2 linked regions of the Schizosaccharomyces pombe genome follow. Changing the gene in region 2 together with the main gene of any one other region gives a genetic interaction. Each region holds a gene or a part of one and is shown on either strand. Other genes may lie near its edges.

Region 1 (3,387 bases), on a different chromosome or scaffold from region 2:
GCTTAGTTGCTCTTGAAATTTTTCAAGGTCAGCCAAACTTTTTTCGTAAATCTATTCAATCCATCCAACTAACTCCGAATGCAAATGTTTTAGTCAACCGAGTTCGTGGATTAATTAGCCAAGAATTTAAGGAATTCCTTTTACAAACCTTGCAAGCCGAAACATTACAAGGCCCTAATATCAATATGTTGTTGGAAACTTCTAGTTTTTTGGAAAAGCGACAAACGCTCAATTTTGAAATTTGGTAAGTTTTCAGTTTTGGAACACTTTTGTTTATATCCAATTCTAACCTTTTTTTTTAGCCTAAACAATCTTAATTTGCGAGAACGAAAGGCATCTCGCTACAGTTATCTATGATTACCAATGAAGAAAATCAAATTATTCGCCATAGAAAAAATATTGCTAATTTAATAACCCATTAAATTCCCTCCTTACTTTTAAAAGGAAAAGTTGTGTTTGCTTTGCTTGTCAGTAACTTGATACTATACGATGTTGCTTAACAACAAAAATTGGCTTTGTTAATTGAATGTCATATTATCATTTGTGAGTTCAATAATTTAATTATCATTAGTGAGAACAATACGAAAAAAGTTCTTATGTTAAATGGATGTAACAGACATAAATGCATAAACTGAGGAAGGTCGTAAAAAGTAATCATTTTATGGATGCTTTGGGCACAAATTTCTGCACTTCAATCGAATTCCTTTGTGCCTCTTTTTCACACCAGCGCTCAAAATTTACCAAAGACAACAACCTAGACTCATTTGATAATCCTTGAGACTTCAATATACTAACGTTGGCAAGGTTTGCAACACGCTCACGTTGGCTGTAATTCAAAACATTTTTCAAGGCAGGGCTGTAGGAAGAAGGAGGAAAACATAAAAGCGACATTGTCAACTCTAAAGAATTCAAAAACTTTTGATTTGAGGGTGCTAAAGGTGCTAAATTTTCATGTGCAAAGTTTAAACATCTTTCTACCGCTAAATCAGAGGTATCTTTCTCTTCAACAACTTCTCGTATCAATTCAAGCAATCTCAATCGTAATAATTCAAACAGAAGTTCTGAATTTGTGTCCAAAATCTATGTAGCTGTTAACTCGTAATCCTTACTTGCTTTCAGCATACCTCTGGCTCCAATTCATTCAGTTTGCATATTGCAGAGTTAATTGAACCTGATTTAATTAACTCGCAAATCTCTAAACGTTCTTTTACATATGGAGGAATATAATAATCCGTAATTTGAGCTTCTTCAGCAAATGTTTTTGCGGCTTCTTCGTCACCTTGAATCACCAAATAATCTAAAATCAGCGAATTCACGTCTCTGTACAAGCAATGATTAGTAACCATCAGTAACGTTCAGCGAAGCAACTATTTCAGTTACTTACGAATTATCGATATGGACACTTTTTGTCTGTTTCTCCCATTGTTCTGCGTCCGAACTTGAGCTACCGCTCATTGAAATATCTAAAGAAGAAGTGCCTACCATCTTTAAGCTCTCGTGAGAGAACGGTAGCAAATTCTATTCTATCCTAAACAAAGAGACCTTTTAAAGCTACCAAAAGTTATGACCGGATAAACGAGCCTCAATTCTTGATAAAAAGAAATTTAACGAAATTTATATAGGATAGAGATAGTAAACCCTTGAAAAAGGCAATTTGAAATTCGAATAGCCTGTGCAATGCTAAAGATTGAAGTTGCAAAGTAGCCATATCGCTACCTCAAAGATATGCCGTTTACCAAAATGCAACGCAAACTTCTAACTTAAAATATAATGTACTCTAACGGCGATTTTTGGTTTCACTACAACGCTGTATATAAACAAATTCAACGTTAGCTATGATTTTAATAGAAAAGGAATTTGTTTTTCTTAACGTTATGAACTACTTTTCGTATCAATAAATACAAATCTTTTTCTCATGTGTTACGTGCATTATTAATGGTCAAAACATTTTCTTATATTCTACTTAATTGAAGTATCTTTATAAACTCGTGCTCCCTAGTGTTTTTAAAGAGTTACGCATCTCAAAAACGTTTCATTGGTTTTTTATGTTTCATTTTTTAAAATAATATAATAGAATAAGGGCGCAACGAGTCTTAATACTGAAAAAAGTTGGCTTCTATCAAATATAAATGCTATGATGAGTGACGAAGATAATACCTATAGTGATGATGAAGAATGGTTAGATTTAGATCTTGGTCTCCCTAATAATGATATTAAAACTGCACCTATTTTAAATTCTTCGCTCCTTTCATCCGCCGTACATGGTGAAAGGTTGATTCAAGAACGACCAACTCATGATTTTGGAGACGTTGAGGCCACCGTTGATCGAACGGTTGAAAAACGTAGCCGCTTAAAGATCACTTCCGTTGATAGAAAGATTCGTCTTCAAATTCATCAGTTACACTTACTCTGTTTGACTTATCATCTTTGCACACGAAACACTTGGTGCGATGACAATAGACTAAATTATCTTGTGAAATATATTCCTCCTGGTATACGTGTCTCGCTTCATCCCTCTTCTCAAAAGTCACAAATGATTCGGAACAAAACTTTCCTACACGGGTTGGCTGGACTCGTCGAAGTTTGGAAACGGAAATATAAAATCACTACCAATGGATTAAGAAAACCGAATTATGGTTTACTACAAAACAATAGCCTCATCTCTGAATCTTTATCCCTTGAGGAGTTTTGTAAAAACTCAAAATTGCTTTCCGGTAGTAGAGATTATGGAACCCAGTTATTTGCATCTATTCTTCGTAATTTAAACGTTCCAACTAGACTAGTTTTTTCACTACAAGTTTTATCTTTTCGATTTAAAGGTGCCATAAATGAAGCAAGTAGTCATGAAATTGTTCCGGCATGGTCTCAGCAAATGGAAAATGATTCATCTAGCGATATCTCTGAAAGTGCACACATTACTTCTAGATTTCGCAAACGTAGGAAAATCATACAGCCTTCTTTTTCAAATCTTTCACATCTTGATGCCTCAGATATTGTTACAGAAGATACAAAACTAAAGGTAATTGATTCTCCCAAACCGGTTTTTTGGGTAGAGGCTTTTAATAAAGCTATGCAAAAATGGGTTTGTGTTGATCCATTTGGTGATGCTAGTGTCATTGGCAAGTACAGAAGGTTTGAACCGGCTTCCAGTGACCATCTAAATCAAATGACTTATGTATTTGCTATTGAGGCTAATGGGTATGTAAAAGATGTTACCCGAAAATATTGTTTACATTATTATAAAATATTAAAGAATAGAGTCGAGATTTTTCCCTTTGGAAAGGCTTGGATGAATAGAATATTTTCTAAAATTGGAAAACCAAGGGATTTTTATAATGACATGGATGCTATAGAGGATGCGGAATTACTAAGGCTTGAACAATCAGA
Region 2 (4,162 bases):
TGCGGAATTCACAAAACTTTTCAATGGCAGCCGGGGATTTCCTGGAGGTATACGGCACCGAAGAAAGTCGTGATTCGTTTCAAGTAGTAGCTACCTGCTTCTTTATAGACACTACAAAAAACATACTGGACTATTTGGATACAATTAAAAACTGTTTGGTAGATGGAGGTTATTGGATAAATCTCGGGCCTTTATTGTATCATTTTGAGTCAGAAGGTACTTCTAATTCTAACAGTGATAGCCAGCAACAACCTTTCGTTGAATTGACTCTCGAGCAGCTGTTTTACGTGATGGATAGTATGGGATTTGAGGTTTTAAAGCACAATTCGGTCGACACGACTTATATGGGGGACAAACGAAGTATGCTTGAATGGATATACCATCCTCATTATTGGGTCTGCCGTTTGCAAAAATCAAAATTACGATTTCAATAAAAATTTTTGAACCAACATTGAATATTACGACTTTAATCATTCAAATATTCCTTTAGCATAATTAACAAAGCTAATTGATAACTTGTACATGAAAGTAAAGCGATTATTTTTGCATCTACTATCTACGTATAAAACTGCCTACATTAAATAAGCCATTCGTACGCTTCAAAAACTTTATAAGCCGCATTTGAAATAAAGGAAACGGAAAAACATAAAGGCTTTGAAATACAGTATGAGCCAAATTATTAATTAATAGACTCACAAAGCTTTGTTCATAAAACGTCTCTTGCTGAAGCAAGTCCACCACTTGCTGGGATGATCCTTTTCAGTTGCATATACATGGGACAAAAGACGATAAGCAAGTTCCTGACGAAATTGAGTAAGATATGTACGCATTATTTCTTTTTTTAATAGTTAGCAAATGAAAAAAAAAGCAAGAAAGCTATTAGCGGCACAAACATCTATATGTCTAATGCCACAGTTTGGGTGAATCTTACCAGCATCTTGAGGAGAAAGGGGAGGAGCATATAATGCATTCAAGGGAAAGCCAGCAGAGCCAGGAATAGAAAAATTCTCCAACGCTAAACTATTAAGTTGACGTTCAGCATCACGATAATTGAGTCCATTAACTCTTCCCAAGCACTCACTGATAAATAATGTTCCATAAATTAAAGTACGGTCTGCTGGTCCCTTAATCTCAAAATTGCGGAAGAAACAATTGGCGCGAAACAGCCCAATGCATTCATCAATAATATCCATTTGACTCTCATCAGCTGTATAAAAAATGTTAGAAAGTACTCTAATAACATTAAGAATAGTCTTTAAACAGAGTTGACAAATATCTGGAACATACCAGGATAAGCCGGTCCACGAAACTTGGTTTTCAACGGCAGCATTGCTATGTTTCCCGTGGTAGGGACGTCCGTAAGACTTAAGAAGGAGGAATGATAGGCCTTTCATAACATGTCAGCAACAAAAATTCAAAACTTTAGAACATACCGGCATATCTAATGTCTAGTGCTTATGATGTTGTTGGATAACTTGAGCACCTGCTGAATGTGCCGATAGGGAGCATTTCGTCAAGCATCAATAGTGATAAATTAGCTTTTCTTTAAACAAAATAGCGAAAAGCTATGTAATTACAGTAAAGCAATATAGCGTGTCGTTTTTTTGTTTTGTGATCGGGTCTCGGTCTCTACTTTATAACTAGTTTTCATCAATGGAAATGACATAGAGCCAATAAATTTGTAGCGAGAACCAAATTCATAAGCATTTGCACGAATGCATTTATTGCTTGAAAAATTATAAAAACGTCAAAAAAAGATTTTCATGTTTGGTTATTTTGATTTTGGGATCTAACGTACTGACTTATATGGGGATAGACGGTCTTTTGGGACCGTAAACATTACTACATCGGAAACAATTCCCCCCTGTTAAATCTTTCTGTGTTGGATATTTTAATACAGTTTAGTAGGTAATCTGTTTTCTCCAGAGTGACGGAATTGAGGATATATCTGAAAGAGCATGGAAAACCCTTCCCCAACTAGAACAACCAATTTGCAACGAATTCGGTCGTTGTACAGGTTACAAGAAGACAAGAATAATTTAAATATACCAGAACCTATTAATGGAAAAGTTCAAGAAATCGATACAAAAGAGTCATTGGAAAATGTGGATCGTTACGGAAACTATCGCTCAGACTTTAATGTTAATAATTTAGGGTTCTATAAAGTTAGTAAAGACCCAACATTAGATAAACCAAACCCTGCCAAACGTCTTGGCAATAAATTAATCGGCCATGATGACATGCTGAAGTACGTTGATGAAAGCATCTTCATGGTTGTTCCCGGCGAGTCGCATGACCGCAACGAAATATCAGCTAAAGAGCTTTCCCGTATTCAAAAATGGAAATCGATGTGTTCAATACACCTCGTTTCCGGTAATCAGCTCCATTCTTTTCGAAAAACTCGTAAGTTAATTTTACGTACATTTAAGGGGATTCCAGATTGTTGGCGATCTATTGCGTGGTGGTCCTTTCTTGTGGATTCTCTTCCTGATAAAAAACTGATTGACAAGTATTACCAATTGAACGAGCAGATTTGTGACTATGATGTTCAAATTGACCTAGATGTTCCCAGAACAGCTGCTACACATTTCTTATTCCGAAAACGCTACATTGGAGGGCAACGTTTACTATTTAGAGTTCTTCATGCTGTAGCTCTCTATATACCTCGTGTTGGATACGTTCAAGGAATGGCTTCTATTGCTGCGACCTTGCTCATTTACTATCCCGAAGAACAAGCATTTATAATGATGGTAAATTTATTGGAAAATAGAGGCATGGGGGACTTGTTTTCTTCCGGGTTTGATACACTTTTAAAGGCTTTTGACATGCTTAAGCATGAGTTAAGTTTTACACAATCAGGCAGACATCTGGCGGAAATTGGAGCAGAACCATCTGCTTTTGCTACACGTTGGTATCTCACTGTTTTTCATCAATGCGTGCCCTTCCATACTCAATTACGTATATGGGATCTCCTGTTTTTATTAGGTGGAAGCAAAGGTCAAACTGTCAGGTTATTGCAAGCCACTTCTCTTGCGGTTATACAAGGAATGTGGGACACGCTAATTGATGCAGACTTTGAAGTAGTAATGCAAGCTCTGTCAGGTGTTATTCCCATTCAAAACGATAACGCCCTGCTTGCTAGAATTCAATTATTTTGGGAAAAAATGCCTTCTGAAAATTCTTCTAAAAGTAAGAGAAACTGATATTTCTAACTCTTTTTTAATAGCTTTATTAATTGTGGCCCACATGATGTAACATATGTCAACAAGATGAGGATTGATATCACAGAGCTTAGCATAATGGGTCCTGAACATTTATCATTTTCTTTTTCTGTTTTAATTTGGAACGTTGATAAACATTATTTCCTTGATACCACAAAACTTTTATTGGTATCAAGAGTATGCGCTTTAAATCGATCCTATCTAACTCTCTCTTCTTACTAATATTATAATTTTAACATCTCACCAAAAGAAATGGAATTTTAACATAAAATTAATTCAAGTATATATATTATAAATACTATACATATATATGTATACATAATACCTCTCCATCTTGCGACTTCCTAGGTGCGTCGTAATTTCTAATTATGTATAGCTTAAATAGTTAAATATTACCAAAACACTGACGACAAATAATAAAATATAAAGAAGGTAGTAAATGGGTTGAAAAATCAAATAAAACAAGGTATGGGGTTACTCTTCCTCGTTCTCTTCTACATTCTCTTCTGAAGAACGAGATTGATGAGAAGACGCAACATCAGCAAACTTAAGGATTTTGTCTTTATACTTGGTGACATCCCCGGAACTGTCTTCTATTATCCAGGACTGGACCTTATCTTCAATCAAGAATCGCTTGGAACTATTTTCATCAAAAATCACTACAACACTGGAATCCTTCAAGTTCACCTCCATCTCGATAAAAAGTCTCTCATGTTTTCCTTTACAAACAAAAGCGCATCGACCAACATCAGTTAATAGCATAACCCTTTGCTTTCTTTTCAAAAACATTTTTGAGAGTCCAGATGGAAACTTATTACCCTCAGGTACACTTGGAATGGGTGATACGAAGACCGAGGTAGATTCAATGATCGACTCAGACGATGGAACCAACTTGTAATAAAGTCTGTCAACAGGCATCTGATGGCTTCGAAGTGAAGCAT

What was found.
Region 1: mutations in SPOM_SPBC1778.09 (region 2) and gid8 together harm fitness more than expected from each alone (negative genetic interaction), as found in Schizosaccharomyces pombe (one large-scale study listed by BioGRID).

Annotation. Positions count from the first base shown.
Region 1 is NC_003424.3:4,594,537-4,597,923, reverse strand, and holds gid8 (ubiquitin ligase complex subunit protein), read right to left. Parts: upstream 1,683-3,387; 5' UTR 1,486-1,682; coding exon 1,385-1,485; intron 1,321-1,384; coding exon 1,125-1,320; intron 1,081-1,124; coding exon 655-1,080; 3' UTR 544-654; downstream 1-543. Other genes in the region: tea5 (serine/threonine protein kinase Ppk2), read left to right, coding at 1-244, 303-357; DNA repair protein Rhp41, read left to right, coding at 2,135-3,387. UniProt on the Schizosaccharomyces pombe protein: Component of the GID E3 ligase complex recruiting N termini and catalyzing ubiquitination of proteins targeted for degradation.
Region 2 is NC_003423.3:3,110,766-3,114,927, forward strand, and holds SPOM_SPBC1778.09 (GTPase-activating protein), read left to right. Parts: upstream 1-1,686; 5' UTR 1,687-1,958; coding exon 1,959-3,203; 3' UTR 3,204-3,632; downstream 3,633-4,162. Other genes in the region: SPOM_SPBC1778.07 (carnosine N-methyltransferase), read left to right, coding at 1-434; arc3 (ARP2/3 actin-organizing complex subunit Arc21), read right to left, coding at 693-835, 932-1,207, 1,288-1,387, 1,434-1,439; pdk1 (serine/threonine protein kinase Ppk21/Pdk1), read right to left, coding at 3,696-4,162.